2 linked regions of the Tamandua tetradactyla genome follow. The protein of the gene in region 2 binds, or shares a complex with, the protein of the main gene of each other region. Links are inferred from orthologs where the notes say so. Each region holds a gene or a part of one and is shown on either strand. Other genes may lie near its edges. The genes, in order: POLR3K and POLR3D.

Region 1 (8,262 bases), on a different chromosome or scaffold from region 2:
CCTGCAGTAGAGTCAACATTCTCCCAGGCAGCTGCTCCCCCAAGCACATCATCCACTTCTTTCAGCTTTGGATACTTCCGGCTTGTTACCTAACAAACAACAAGTTTCAGACTCTTAAAGTAAGTGAACGGTATAAACCCTGGGCACCAAACCACAAGCGCCCTCGTGTCTTCCCAGACTTCCTCCCTTCAACAGTCAGAAGATAAAAGTTCCTGCTCTCACAGACCAGTCCCTGGCACCACATTGGAACTCAGAGAATCTGTGATCAGGGCACACCCCGAGCCAAGGAGTGGGAGTCAACAGGTAGAGGAGAGCTCTGTATGGATTAGAGAGGCACAGAGCAGAAGAAAGAATGGCTTCAGACAGGCCTTCCTCCTCTCCCACCCCTCCAGGGTATAACTCAAAATGAGAGCAACAAATACAACCAAACTTCAAAAACAAAGAGCACCACTTAGTGGGGTAAACTGGTCACTCCCTGCACAGAGTTTCCGAAGCAGTCTATGCTTGGCTTTTATCAGACATCCTTGGAACTTCGGGTTTACACGAGTTTTGGACTCTATTGCTTATGGTTAAGTAGTTTGCAAACATTAAGAAGAATGAGATAACCAACGATGTCAAGAAAATCAAGATTCTCTATTTTCTCCCACTGAAATTAAATGTATTTAAAAGGAATTTTTCACAAGCATCAGATACTAAATAAATTTCAGATAAGTTTACATATTTAATAAAAACACTGGTTTTATATCATTTTGTGATGAGAGATGTCTTAAGCAGCAAAAATCTATATAGTCCCTAGCAACAATATTTATTATAATCAATTACAGTGTCTTGGTTTTCGGCTTTATTTCAATACATTTGAAAAAGCCTTTATAAAATAAGTGTATTTACTGACTTTATCAGTAAGACTCCAAAGAAAGTAATTTGTAGTGCTTCACAATTTTGTAACAAATTGTGTCATGTTTTATAAGGCTGTGTTGAAAATGTTTTAAAAGGAAATTTATAAATGTACAAATTTACATAATTTGGGTCTTTATAATTTTATGTTAGAACTAGAAGAGACCTTAAGGACTCTCCTCACATTATAGATCAGAAACAGGAAGTTCTGAAAGGTGAACTTAATTAACTGATGAAGTTTACAGAGCTAATTAATTAATAACAGTGTATACTGAATAAACCACTCCAGGACTCTCCCTCCTACAGGAAGCAAAAATTATTACTAAGAGCTGATAAGAAAAAAATTAGAGAAACTTAAAATGCATTTAACTTAAGATAATCTGCTCGGATAACACTTTATTTTACTAATGAGAAGGGATATTAGTAATAGACGAAAGCTTATCAATATCAGGACTTTAGATCAAGTAAAGACTTAGATGGGATGATGTGTCTTGATTATACAGTAAAATGGCTTGAAGTTCATTTTCAATCCAACTATGCTTCAGTACTTGCAGATTCTAAGATCACATCTTAAAGTCCAGGTTTCACTAAAAGAAGAAAGTAAAATATGAAGCCGCAACAAAATGTTGTTATAAATTTAGTTTGGGATATTTAATCCTGTGCTCAGGGAAAATCAGTACCTAAGTAAATTATCGCATTAATAATTATTCTTAAATTTCTAACCTCTAAGAGGTGAAACCTACACGTAAATAGAATACCCACTTCTAGAAATGGTAGAGGTGCAAATGCCAGGAATGTATTCTAATGGAAATGAAGACAACGATAAATTATGTATTTATCTGTTTAAAAGAAAAAAAGGAAAATGAGATAGCACGAACGTGCTCTACTCTAAAAAGTAAAGGTGTTGAAAACTCAACAATAAGAAAACAAAATGGGCATATTACAAAATGGGCAAAAGAGCTAATGGGTACCTCACGTCACCTCAACATCATGTTATTAATGAAATGTAAAACACAATAAAACACTACAAACCAAATACAACAAATATGTTATATTATAGAATTTTAAAACAAAAGGAGAGAGAGAGGAGAAAAATAAAAAGTAAAAAAAAAAGCCTCCAATGAGCTGAGACTCAGCATCAAGGGATTGAGAAAACCTTCTCGACCAAAAGGGGGAAGAGCGAAATGAGACAAAGTGTCAGTGGCTGAGAGATTCCAAACAGAGTTGAGAGGTTATCCTGGAGGTTATTCTTACGCATTAAGTAGATATCACCTTGTTATCCGAGATGTAATGGAGAGGCTAGAGGGAACTGCCTGAAAATGTAGAGCTGTGTTCCAGTAGCCATGTTTCTTGAGGATGATTGAATAATGATACAGCTGTCACAATGGGACTGTGTGATTGTGAAAACCTTGTGTCTGATGCTCCTTTTATCTACCTTGTCAACAAACGAGTAGAACATATGGAATAAAAATAAACAATAGGGGGAACAAATGTTAAAATTGATTGTTTGAAATACTAGTGAACAATGAAAGGGAGGGGTAAGGGGTATGGTATGCATAAATTTTTTTTCCTGTTTTCGTTTTACTTCTTTTTCTGAATAGATGCAAATGTTCCAAGAAATGATCATGATAATATGCAACTATGTGATGATATTGTGAATTACTGATTATATATGTAGAACGGAATAATATGTTGTTTTTGTTAATTTTTTTAAATTAATAAATAAATAAATTTTAAAAAATTATATGGGATGTTAGCAGGTGAGTCCTAGGGGAAAAAAATAAAACGGGAGGAGGACATAACGGGGGAGCTGCAGGGCGCTTCCTCAGGGAGAGGGAAGCGGGCAAAGGCCCGGCGCGGTGGGGGTCCTCCAGGAGGCCCGCGTCGCAGCGGCCGCACGAGCGAGCAAGGTCGGGGTACCGCCGCGGCTGCGCCCGCCCCTGGGGGCGGCCCTGGGGTACGAGGCGGCTGGAGGCCGCGGGAGTCCCAAAGCTGGGGGAGAGCGGAGGAAGGGCGCTGTGGGCTGACGGGGGGTGGCGGGGACCAAGCCGGTGTCCGTGGCGCGGCGGGCCTGCGGGACTCACCTTGCGGGTGATGTTGTGCACGTACGGGCAAGTGTTGCAGGCGAAGCGGTGGCAGCGCTGACCCTCCTCCACAATCAGCCCGTTCCCGCAACCCGGACAGAAAAGCAACATGGCGGCGACTCCCGGCAGTCTCCACGGCCCCAGCTTCCGGGACCCGTCGGTGCCGAGGCCTCGAGCTTTCATTGGCCTTGGCAGCCGCCTGTCCTTCAACTCACCAATAGACACGCCGCTTACGTGCGCCCTGTGGGACGGGCAGCAAACTGTCCTGCGGTTGTCATTGGTTATGATGACCGCCCGTCTTCCAGATGCACCAATGACCTGCCTCCCTCGCTCTGCGCGCTGCGGTCCCGGCGCGTGCGCACTCTGCCACCCTCGCGCGAGCCTGCGGGAGCGGCTCCCAGCACCCGCCGCCCTGGCCGAGGCGGGGGTCGGGGCGCGCCCACTGGCGCCGGAGGACGAGGAGGACGAGGAGGAGGCGCTGCCGCACTCGGAGGCGGTGGACGTGTTCCAGGAGGGCCTCGCCATGGTGGTGCAGGACCCGCTGCTGTGCGACCTCCCCATCCAGGTGCGCGGGCGGGCCCAGGTGCCCGCGCTGGCGGAGGCCCCGGGCGCGGGTCTCGGCGGCGCTCGCGGCGCGCGGTCGCAGCAGGTTTAAAAGCCGCAGTTAGTGCACAGAAAACCTTCGCGGTGGGCAGGCTTTAAGCACAAACAAGTCCAGAGCTGACTTCTCCATGAGTGGTGCATTTACACTCCCGTCGTCTCGGGTCGTGCGCGTGCCGGTGCCCCTTACCCTTCGCACGCTGGCCCTGTCTGGTGACCGAGGGCCCTCCGGGTGGAGCGACCAGCCCGGCGTCCTCTCCTGCCCAGCCTTTAGGCTGTAGGAAGCAAAGGCCTGGACCCGGAGTGGGCGCATCCTCCTGTGTCTGTACTCCTGGCCCCCACCCCACGCCCACCGCTTCTGTCCAGTCTGAAACTTGAACGTAAATGTGTGGGTGGAACACGAGTAAGCGGGAAATCTAGTTTACAGGCAAGACCCCCTTTCCCTCCCTACCCTTCATAAAACGTGGTGACCACTGTGTGGACACGGCCAGCTTGTTCTCCTTCATGCTGTTTGGGGTAATGAAGGAGCGCTGGGCCCCACACACCCCTTGGTCTTTTCTAGGTCACTTTGGAAGAGGTCAATTCCCAGATAGCACTAGAATATGGACAGGCAATGACAGTCCGTGTGTGCAAGATGGATGGAGAAGTCATGCGTAAGTGGCCCGTCCTCACAGGGCCAGGTGGCGAGACAACGTGTGGTGCATGGATGCCTTGTTGTTAGCAGGGGTGGGCAGGGCATGTGGGCTCTGACAGTCGGTCCCCACCACGGTCTCCCGTTTGTGTCCCCGGTGGCAGCTGTGGTCGTCGTGCAGAACGCCACGGTCCTGGACTTGAAGAAGGCCATCCAGAGATACGTGCAGCTCAAGCAGGAGCGGGACGGCGGCATCCAGCACATCAGCTGGTAGGTGGGGTGGTGGCTCCTGGGCAGCCTTTCGGAGGCAGGCGTGGGCCGGCGGGGAAGTAGCTCCAGCTCCAAGTGAGCACTGCTGCTGTAAAGCGGCGAGGGACGCACTCCCTGCCCCAAGAAGCTCGGGCAGTTCTTCCTCATCTGCGCCATCCTCATCTGGGCTCCTGGTGGTGCTGCTGTCTGCTGGCAGCCCCTCCCTTCCTTGCCTGGTTCTGCAGCCGAGGGTGTTTGGTCTTTTGAGAGCAGCACCTCCTTGGAGCTACTTGGAGGGGCGCACGTGGTGCAGGAATAGCACAGAAGGAGAGGCAGGCCGCTGCGGGTCCCAAAGGGCTGAGGCAGCAGGCATTCACCTGCGTCCCTCCCGCAGGTCCTACGTGTGGAGGACGTACCACTTGACGTCCGCAGGGGAGAAGCTCACAGAGGACAGGAAGAAGCTCCGAGAGTAAGTTCAGGCTGCATCTTCACCACTGGGAAGATTGGTTCTTGCCTCCAGGACCCCTCCTAGGGGAGAGCCAAGAGCACGTGGGTGCTGTTGCCTTCCCAAGAAGTCCTGTGGGGTCAGCAGAAGTCCTGGGGTGCTTCCAGGGAGCTGGGTCTTAGCCCTCCCGCGTTGTGGAGGACAGGCAGAGGAGCAGATTTGAGTGCACTGCAGATCTCACCAGCATGAGGAGTGCGTGCTGGGGGGCTGCATGTGCATGGAGAAGAGTGGGGCTGCGGGAGGACGGACATGTGGACTGTCCTAGATGAGCCTCTCAGGAGCTCAGGTGGGAGCCCCTGAGGAGTTTTGTGTAGGTCCAACACGGCCCTCTTTCCTTCTCTTTCAGTTATGGTATCCGGAACCGGGATGAGGTCTCCTTCATCAAAAAGCTGAGGCAAAAATGAACCACTGGACTAGGGCAGCTTTGTTCACTGGTGGCCAGGCTTTTTCTGCAGGAAAGAGCCCTTAAGTCACCGTCCATTTTCAGAGGCAGGTTGAGGTGGCATCACCCCAGGTGGGTTCTGCCTCCTCCCCCTCCCCCATGGGGCTGTCAGCAGGGCCCTCTGGGATGGGCAGCTCAGGCCCAGGCCCAGGCACTCCTCTCCTGCTTGGGTTGGCCAAGCTGACCCCTCCCTGGGCCCAGACATCCCGATGGCCTGGTGGATCCTAGAAGCCTGTGGGCCCAGCTTTGTATACAAAATAAATCTGCTTTTTAGTTTGAAAATTCAAAAAGGCAACTGTACCTTAAGCAGGAGGGACTGGGAATGAGGAGGGGTGAGGCCCAAGACTGCACACCTGTTCCCCCGACCATATAGCCCTGTTCCCGTTGCCTGTGTGGTGGGGAGGGAACAGAAGACGGGTACCATCTGTCTGAGCTAGTGGGGGAGTAAGGGCTGGGTCCTGGTGACCACAGTGGTAGTGTGGGGCATACAGCCACAGAAACCCCACAGGCTTTCCCAGCAGCAGTCTCAGACTCAGTGGAGGGGTGGTGGTGAAACGAGCAGCTGGACATGCAGGGAGGTGGGGCAGCGCCCCCGCAGGGCGAGGGCATGCCAGCGGGTCCCTGCAGTCCTGCTCCACCCTCACCTCACTGTGACCTCACTGGGAGAGCCTGTCCTGGGGAACTGGACATTGGAGGCGAGGGCCCTGGAGGCTGGGGAACCTCACTGGCTGCCCAGCCAGAAACCAGAAAGGAAGAGACAATTCATAGTAAGTTAGTGGCAGCTAAAACGCTCCCAGTCCATTTATTGGCCACATGAGGTGGTCGTCAAGAGACTAGTTAAAAGGTAGTTGCAAGAACTGGTAATAAACCCCAATAGCACGAGGGGTTAAACAAGGCACCGAGGTGTGTGTGTGGAGAACATCGAGTCCGGCTCGGAGGCAGCAGGTCCACAGCCTGCACAGCTGGGGCGTGCGTGCCTCCTGTCTCCGGCCTGCTGGGAGGCCAGCCTGCAGCCTGGCTCAGTGGAGCTGCGCATCCAGCTCGTACTTTTCACAGAACTTGTCGGTGAAGGGGATGCAGGTGAGGAGCTCGCACCACTCGCAGCGGACAGGGTAGACATAGAAAAGGACCACCAGGCCGGCCAGGAGGCCCACAAAGACCACCTGGAACACGATGATCTGGCAGCGCTTACGGTACAGATCGAATTTGCCGAAGCTGATGTAGGGCAGGAAGGCGAAGGAGAGGAAGAGGCCGCTGACAAAGCCTGAGATGTGGGCAAAGTTATCGATCCAAGGCAGCAGCCCAAAGGTAAAGAGCGAGAGTACCACGGCCAGCAGCTTGAAGAAGGCACGCCAGGGCCGCGCCAAGATCTGCCAGCTCTGGAAGAGCTCTACGAAGAGGCAGGCCAGGATGCCGAACTGCGAGCCCGCTGGGCCCACCTGGGAGAGCAGGGCGGCCATGAGCTGGCTGTGGCATTCCCGGGCCCATCCCAGCTGAGCAGATGCCCTGTGCCCCGGGCCTCATCTCAAGCGCCACCTCACATGGCCCGAAGCACAGCAGGACTGCAGAGCCCAGCAGAGGGTCCCCGCCCTGAGGGGACAGCTCACCTCGGCCCGGTATGGCAGGAAGATGGCACTGGCCAGGTTGCCAGTGATGCCACTTAGCAGGTAGATGATGGAGATGCGGTGCCAGCCTGCCAGCTTCTCCAAGTCCCGCAGGATGGTCATCTGGAAGCAGATGGAAACCAGGCAGTGCAGGACCCTGCGGGCAGGAGCGAGGCACTCAGCAGGGAGGGTGTCCGGGCCACCTTGGCCCCATCCCAGCCCCTGGTCCCACTTGTCCAGCCCTGCCCAGCCCGACGGCAGCACTTGCCCAGCGTGCAGGAATAGTGACAGCCACAGGCGGTAGAACTGGTCGGGCACTTCAGGGTTGAGGAAGGGTAGGAGCCCACACACGTCGTCCATGCAGTGGACCTGCCCAGAGCAGCCATCAGTGTTGGAGTGGGGAAGGGGCACCCCCGCCCACCCACCTGAGGCCTACCTGAGAGCAGAGTGTGGCCTCCTCGTGGAAGTAGCCCCTCATGAAGTCACAGTACTCCCGGGAGGTGATCTCACACCTGGAAAGTCAGGCCGCAGTAGAGGGTGTCACTGTGCAGAGGGGGCCTGCTCCCGTCCCACCCTCCAGCTTCGCCCAGGTCCCCTTGGAATCCTGCCTGAATTTCAGGTGAGTGAGGGAGGGCCCAGCCCCAAGGCCATGCTCTGAGCCCAGGGCCCACTTGTGCATGTGCACCACACACCTGCCCTTGGTGCCGATGCAGCAGGGCCGGCCTGTGATGGCGCAGTCCATGTGCGGGTGGTTGGTGTGGTTTCCGGCGCTGCTTTTGGTGCAGATCTGGGTCGCAGGTGGGGATGAGGTGGGTCAGGGCTGTCCCCAGCCTTGGGCCCCAAACCATGCTTGGAGCAGGGAACAAAGTTAGGGGGCAGGTTCACAGGCCTCCCAGTGCTTCAAGCAGGCCACTGCGCCCTGAGCCCCAGTTGGCCCATCTGTCAAACTGCAACAGTGCTGCGTGGCCTCCCGAGTGCAAAGCTCACCTGCTCAGGCACAGGGGGCCAGCCTGGGTGAAGCCCAGGGCTTTGGCATTTGGGTCCGTGAGTGCTGCTGAGATTGGGGCCCTCTCTGGTATCACCAATGAGTGAAGTGATTATCTTGCCCGTGTGGCAAGGGTGACATCCCCAACACCCCCTGCTCACCGGCCACCTGGTAATGTCATCAGGCCACTCGTGGGGGTCCTCAGAGGACGGCTCGTCACATACCCTGCATGAGCCCAGTACAGGGTCAGACCCTGCTTCATGCACCC
Region 2 (7,731 bases):
AATTTAGCATTTTATTTCAGGTTATACATTTTATAACTGGGATGGAAGAGGACCTACTTATTAATAACAGTTTGTTAGGTTCTATACAGACTTCTGAGGGGTGGCCAAAGAAAAGGCAATGAGAAGTTAACTGACACAGAATACCTTTCATAACAGGGACATCCACTTCCATGTCCTCTTCCTTGGGACCAGCCAGCAAAGGTTTAACATCTGGTTCTTCATTCTCTTCCTTAAAAAGCCACCCTGAGTGAGCCAGAGGCAACTGCACAGGCATGTTTCGAGTGTCATTCCTCAGCCCAGGGTCATCGATGAACTGCCAAAGAGTCAGAGAGGTCACAAAGAGCTAGACCAGTAGTTATACTGGAATCCACTCGAGTTCTTTTCTAATCAGAGTCCTGCTGCTCAACAGGACATCAAAAAGCTCATCTTCTGAATATGCAACTATGTGATGATATTGTGAATTACTGATTATATATGTAGAACAGAATGATCATATGTTAAGAATGTTTGTTTCTTATCATACTTCAAAAAAAATTTTTTTTAATTAATAAAAAAATTAACAACAACAACAATGCTCATCTTCTTCTAACTCTTGCTCCCCAAAAGTTCTTTTCCACAGCCACACAGAAGCCCTTTCTCCCCAGTTCCCTGGTACCTACGTCATCCTTTTCCAGCATGCGCAGGATTTGTTTTGTTTCTTCATCCGTCTCCCTCTTCTCTTTTTTGATGTTGATGATATGAGAAGGCCCCATGTCTGACACATCCACTGTTTTATCCCAATTCCCTGTGGGAAATCACCCAATTCACCAAGGATAAAGAAGATGCCAGCAACAAGGAAAACTAACTGGAAGCAAGGAAATAACATTGTCTTTGTCCTTCTCTTAAGCATTCTGAACTGAAATCCTCCATCCATTCCTTCCTCCCAGAGCCCCAACAGTCTTATACCTTTTTTCTTCATCATTTCAGCTGGGCCCTGCTCAAAGATGGAGTGGGACTGGATCACTTCTGGACGACCCCGGCCCCGTCCATGCCCTTCTCGCTGTCGGTCTCTATCTCTTTCACGCTTCTCCTTTTTGACAGTTACTTCTTCCTTTGGCCTGGAAAAGGGAGTGGATTAAAAGAAACCACTCACTCACCCTGCCTCAGAGAACTGGCCTAACTCTCTCATACCATTCCACTCTAACTGAGCAGCGCGTTTATAAGCCAACAACTTCATTATAAGGTGGAGAACCCAATCCTCAGTCTCAGTTTTTCACTTGCTCAATAGGGCAGGGTCCTGTTTTCTTTACTTTAATTTTTGTTAACAGTATATATCAGAATCATAACTCAAAACCTGAACTATAGAAGCTACCCCCAAATGTAGATTTTTTTGCACTGACTGAAAACAGGAAGGTTATAATGGTAAGGAACTTAAGGGATAACTTGATACATCTTTGTCTAAACTGGTGGTTCTTATCTCTGGCTATATATGAGAATCACTCCATTCCACTGCTAACAAGTTAAATCACGATTTTTAGGGATAGAGTCTTATGCATCATTTTTTTAAAGGCTTGTACATAAGAATCACCTGGGAGCCAGGGTTGAAACTCCTAAGTTTAAGTTCTTGAGCCACATATCTAGTTGTATCCCAGAATCCCCAAATTCAGAGAATGTAAATCAGGGGTAGTTATTCAGAAAGCCTAGCTACTTACTCTTCCTTAATCTTCCGACTGATGATGTTTGGGGTGAAGGTTTTCTGAAAGTAAAATACAGGAGTCACTGATTTGATAAGTTCTGACCCCAAAGTACAGACGAAAAGAAAAATTACCAAAGGGCATCTTTTAAGGACCAAGATCACCATGGTTCTCTTACACATATTGGAAACTGTTGTCAGGGATTTAGAGATGGGAACATACCCGAAAAGAAGGAACATCAGCAGTGGATTTACCTAGATAAATGGGATAAGTGGTATTCCAGTGGATGACTGGATACCAAAGTCATTTTTAACTAGAAGCCTCAGCTTGTGTCCCCTAAAAGGAGTGCCTCCTGGGCTTCTAAAAGCGAAGAAACTTATCTAGTCTCACCTCTTGTCTTCAAACAGCTTTAGAGACCAGTCAGTTTCATAGGAAAACAGCTCTAGCAGCAAGGTTCAAGATAGTTAGAATTCTACCACCAGAATTCTCCAAGACAAAATTAAGTCCTTCACAACAGGCTATTTTATGCTTCTGTCATTTTTTTCCCTCTTCAGGGCTACATTTAATTTACATCAATAAGCACTAACATAATGGCCAAGGATACAAAGCATCTAATGTCATGTTTGATTCATTATGCTTGCTTTTCATGGGCTTCTCAAAGGTGTCCGAAATATACAGTAAAAGAAACACGCTCAAATTGCCTCTGAACGTCTTGGACTAATGAGGATCCTCTGCCCTCCAGCCACTCTGGGAATTCTCTCAACACCTTGTTCCAAACAACTAGACTTGAAGGTACAACAGGCTTCCCAGCACTGAAAGACGAATAAGCAGAAGTCTAGGCACAAGATTCTTACGGGGTCCACACGAGCCCTGGCACACAGTAGGCCCTATATGAATACTATTTGAATCTCAGGGGGCTTGTATTCAAGATAGTTGAGTTTCTCTGCAAAAAGGTGATGTCGGGTACCTTCTTGACTCCCCCGAGGGTGAGGTCCCTGGAACGGATGGAGGGAAGACGGCCCGGGGTAAGGGGGGGCGCCGGCCGCCTCCCGATAAGCCCCCGGGCCCCAGAGAGAAGAGGTCGGGGACCTCCCGGGGTGCTGGGCTCGCCCGCGGCGTTTCCTTCCGACATGTTGCCTGGGAGAGAAGGGGGAAAAGGGGGGAAAGGAGCAACGAGGTCACTCGACGGGTTGGACACGCGAACCGTGGGCGGAACCCCACCCACGTGGCTCCCGCCCCCCAGTCAGTGCGTCCCTGCGGACGCGCATCAGCTCCTCCCCCTCCCACGTGGCGAGACTCCCTGGACCACCCGGCTCAAGGCTTTGGCTCTCGATCTTAGCCTGTCGCGACTCGCCGTCTCCCTAGGGGGTCTGGCCAGGCCTGAGTCAGGGACGCACCCTAGAGCACCCGAACTGCGACTCCACACCACGCGCGTCACTTCACCTCCGCCGCCGCCCGTAGCGGGCCCTCAGTTTCCACGCTGGGCGGAAGTCTGCGTGGCAGCGCCCGGGCGCCGCCATCTTGCCGCGGGGCGGAAGTGAGGTTCGGTGGGCGGGGCCGGGCCACAGTATTTATCAAGCGGCGCCTCGCGCAGCTCTGCCTTCTCTTCCCGGTTCTTCCCGGAGTCGGGAAAAGCTGGGTTGAGAGGGCGAAAAAGGATGAGGGGTTGGGTCTAGGTTCCGCCACGGTGCAGCGCTCGGGGGTCCGGCCTGGGGCGGGGAGTGGAGGCGCCGAGCTCAGGGTCTGGGGCGCTGCTCAGGGTCTGGGGCGCTGGCGGTCGCCAGAGCACAATGTGGGAATCAGCCGCCTCGGAGCAGTTGGGGTCGCGCTTCGGGGTGGGGCGAGGGGCGCGGGGCAGAGAGCGAGACCTGGACTCGAAGTCGGGGGAACCCAGGCCAGAACCCAGGCCCGCGCCGGGCCGTAGCAGTCTCCATTGCGGCCGCGGGCTCTGGATGGTGACCTTGGAGTGGTCACTGCACCTCTAGGCAGTGGCCTCGCCCTCGCTCCGACGACCCTTCTCTGAACTCCTGGTAGGGTCGTGGGGTGGGGCTGTGCGAGGTTGGCGAAGCAGCTGCCGCGGGCAAGCCAGGTGCCCAGTAGCACCCAGGCTGGGCTTAGGGCTGCGTGCGCCTGTGCTTGCATGGAACCTGAAAGTTTGCTCTGCAGGAGGGGCGAATGTAAAGAACTTTTACTGTGACTCTAGCGCTTGTGGTTTAACGTAAAAATAAATAATGTGCTCCCTCACACACACACCGTATAAAAAACCATGTAACAACGTTACAGAAAGTTTGGGGAAAGGAAAACATTTCTATTAGAATTCCACCTAGAATACTGCTATCAAAATGTGTGTAATATATTTCACGCTTCCGTCATATTGTCCCACAATTCTGTATCCTCCTTTTTCAAATAACATTTCTTTGTTGTTGTATCCAAATGATTTAGATATTCTCCGTGGAGTGGATATATCATTATGTCCGATTTCCCTATTATTTGAACATTCGATTGTTTCACTCTTTGTTGTAAATAATGCTTCTTTGAACATTGGGTGCATTCAACATTCTTCTTTGGAATTGTTTCCTTAGCACAAATCTCCAGACCTGGGATTAGTGGCCTAAAGAGTACTTGCAGTTTTTTAGAAGTCATCTTTTTATTTTGAGATAATGGTAGACGCATGTAGTCTTAAGAAATAGTGCTGAGAGATCCCAAGTATTGCTTACTTAGTTTGCCTCAATAGTAGCGTCTTATAAAACAATAGTGCAATATCACACTCAGAATATTGACGCTGATATAGTCTAGACACAAAACATTTCCATCACCGCAAGTATCTCTTGTTTCGCCCTTTCATAGCCACATCCATTTCACCACCATCCCCCTCCCTGGTAACTATTAATCTGCTCTCCATTTCTATAATTTGGTTATTTCAAGAATATTATGTAACTATTCTATATAACTTCTTAAAATTGCTTTTTCCACTCAACAAAATTCCCTGGAGATTTTCCAATTTGTTGCATGCAACAGTAGTTCCTTATTATTTATTGCTGAGTATCCATAGTATGGCTGTATCAGTTTCTTTCATCATTCACCCTTTGAAGGATATCTGGCTATAGCAAATAAAACTGCTGTGAACAGGTCGTTGCCAGTTTGGGGCGTTAGAAATAAAGCTGCTGTGTATGGGTTTTTGTGTAAACATAACGTTTTTCATTTCTCTGGGATAAATGCCTAAGAGTATAATTAATGGGTCATATGGTAGTTGCATGCTCAATTTTATAAAAAACTGCCAAACTGTTTTCCACAGTGGCTATACTATTATGAACATGAGCATTTTGTGGTTCTTCATCCATGTTATAAATTTCTTTCAAAATGTTTGTGCATCACCACTAAAAAATGTGCGTATACATATACATAATTTACCACATCATTTTGAGTTAAAATTTTTAAACTTCATTTTTACCAATTTAACAATATATTAATATTATATTACTATTTTGTTATGTTGGTTTCTATCCAGATTTTTTCAATATCTTTTCTCCATATTAGTTGTATGATAACCAAACCAAACGAAAACCCTTCCTGTTCCCTACAGAGCTACACATAACAGCCCTCGGTTTCCTTTTTAAAAAAATTTATTATATTTTATTTATTTATTTATTTGTTTGTTTGTTTGTTTTAGCCCTGAGTCTCTGACTGGAGTACCAGATGAAATTGCTCCAGTTTGTTTCTCTGGACTTTGAGGTTCACCAAGCTTTTAGCAGCTCTTAAATTTTTGTTTTGTTTTGTTTTTACAAAGATGCTTATTCACTGATCAGTTACAGGTTTATGATATGAGAATAAACCAGTTGCTGGTAAGAAGCACAATTTATCTGATTGTGAGGCTTCAAATAAAATGTGTTTGAGTCCCTAAGAAGCAAACACTGTGTGGTCCTGTGAACTGTATTCCCAACAACATTTCAAGAACTCTGAGTCTTGTTTCATTTTTTATTGTATTATCCCTTAATGTCAGCTGATGGAGTAAAATAAAAGTATAGTTCAACCTGAAAAAAAAAAAAAGATGCTTATTCATTGTAGGAAATTCTGAAAATTTTAAAAGGCAGAGAATTAAAATCTGCTAATGTTATACCATCACCTGTTTTGTATACTTGAAGCTGTTTTTCCTATGCATGTATTTTTTTAGGTTGAGTTATTTCATATATGGTTCTATAATTTGCCTTCACCATTCTGCTTTCTTTCTTTACTTAATCCCAGAGCTCTCTGTTTTCTCTGAAGTGTTCATTCTTTTATCTAGCCTCAAGCTTGTAAATTATTAGCCACAGAAGCCTATGTAACATATGAGTCTAGCAGATATTTTTATTATCAACATTTTATTGCATTTTATTTACATATATCTTATAGGAAAAGACAATAACCATTCTTTTCTGATAGATAATGAAACTAGTAGTCGAACTCTTGGGAACATTTCATAATTTTCTGGGTCTAAATACAGGTTTTAGAAGGTCTAAACAGTTTCTGTCAAAAGCCAATTCCTGTGAATTCGTGATGGGCATTGAAAATACTAAATGAATAAGCAACTGCTTTGAATATGTATTAGTAGAATAAAGGGAATATATAGTAGGAGAGCAGTACCTAAGATTGGGCTATTACATGTTCTCGACATGAAATTTACCCTAATTTGATTCATTTTGGAGGCCATTCCTTCTCATTCTCCTTTCTTGGTTCCTCAACTCTTCAGCCTCTTAATATGGGAAAATTTTAGGATTCAGTTCTTGGAACTCCTCCCTTATTTTCCTGGCTTCAAACCGTGTACGTTTACAAATAGCTCTTAAATATGTATCTCCAGCCTAGAACTCTCTGAACTCCAGAGGTATATCTCTGCCTATTTCAGCCTTAACTAAGATATTTGCTAGGGTTCTTAAATTTATGTTTAAGTTCAAACTTTTGATCTTCCTCCTCAAACTTCCCAAAGTTTTTGCATCTTAGGAAAATGGCCACACCATCCTTCTGGTTGTTCAGGTTAAAAAAAAAAAATTCCTCTTTTTTTAACTCCTCTATTTCTCTCAGGCCTAACATTTTTTTATGGCAGCTCTACCTTCCAAATATATCCAGAATCTTACTACGTCTCACCCTTCAGTGACACACTACCCTGCTCGAGGCCACCATCACATCTTTTGTTGAGATTATTACAGTAGCTTCCAACTGGCCTCCCTGCTTCCACCTGGGCCCTCGGTCTAGTCTCAATAGAGCATAAGTAATATATTTCACAGCAGATCATGTCTCAACTTCCCAGTGGCCTCCCATTTCAGAGTGAACACCAGGGCTTTCTGCAAAGCCCTGCATAAGGTGCCCCTCCATCTGTCATCTCCCTGGCCACCATTCCTGCCACACTCCCCTCACTGACTGCTCCTGCCACGCTGGCCTCCTTGCTGTTTCTGGAAGAGATCAGGCGTGTTCCTCCTCCAGGGCTTCTGCACCTGCTACCTGGAATGCTCTAGAGCCCACCACATACTTCTGCACAGCTCACTTTCTCCCTTCATCCAGGTCTATTACTCCAAAGTCACTTTTGACATTTTGTCTTCAAAGTTGTAACTCCCACTCCCCCATGACATCACCTGTCTTATTTACTGACCGACTTTTCTCCATAGCATTTATTACCACCTGATAAATACAGACTTTTAAAATTCATTAACTCTGGTAGTAACTAGATGTACAAAGTTAAAAATGTTTTTTTTGCATGAGGAAGAACAAAGGAATGTCAGTGTTGCAGGGTGTTGAAAGTAGATGGTAGTTCGTATTTTAAAACTTTAACTTATGTGTGAGACAAAAGGAAAAAGTGTTTATTTTGTCCAAAATTTATATTTTGACTAGTGCATCTCCTAATATAACTTATGTGGACAGTTTAATTGAACACCATAAGTACATGGAACCTTAAATAGGGCCTGAGATTATATAGGCTTGTCCAGAGGAATGCCCTGATAAATCCCAGAGTGATGCCCCAATAAATCCCAGAGTGATTTGAACAGTGAATAAAAAAATATTTGCCAAGTCCCCTTGGGGGAATGGGGAG

The links.
Region 1: POLR3D (region 2) and POLR3K share a complex: the UniProt entries of both Homo sapiens proteins name them as parts of the RNA polymerase III complex. The link is inferred for Tamandua tetradactyla from reciprocal best matches to the Homo sapiens genes POLR3D and POLR3K.

What each region holds. Positions count from the first base shown.
Region 1 is NC_135349.1:57,276,513-57,284,774, reverse strand, and holds the start of POLR3K (DNA-directed RNA polymerase III subunit RPC10), read right to left. Parts: upstream 3,090-8,262; coding exon 2,979-3,089; intron 90-2,978; coding exon 2-89; intron 1-1. Other genes in the region: SNRNP25 (U11/U12 small nuclear ribonucleoprotein 25 kDa protein), read left to right, coding at 3,502-3,543, 4,141-4,231, 4,374-4,479, 4,853-4,927, 5,310-5,367; RHBDF1 (inactive rhomboid protein 1), read right to left, coding at 6,425-6,844, 7,013-7,166, 7,278-7,378, 7,446-7,521, 7,702-7,796, 8,156-8,219. UniProt on the Homo sapiens protein: Core component of RNA polymerase III (Pol III) which synthesizes small non-coding RNAs using the four ribonucleoside triphosphates as substrates. Can mediate Pol I proofreading of the nascent RNA transcript.
Region 2 is NC_135329.1:22,877,464-22,885,194, reverse strand, and holds the start of POLR3D (DNA-directed RNA polymerase III subunit RPC4), read right to left. Parts: upstream 3,198-7,731; 5' UTR 3,071-3,197; intron 2,811-3,070; 5' UTR 2,806-2,810; coding exon 2,641-2,805; intron 1,736-2,640; coding exon 1,692-1,735; intron 1,098-1,691; coding exon 946-1,097; intron 785-945; coding exon 660-784; intron 314-659; coding exon 145-313; intron 1-144. UniProt on the Homo sapiens protein: DNA-dependent RNA polymerase catalyzes the transcription of DNA into RNA using the four ribonucleoside triphosphates as substrates.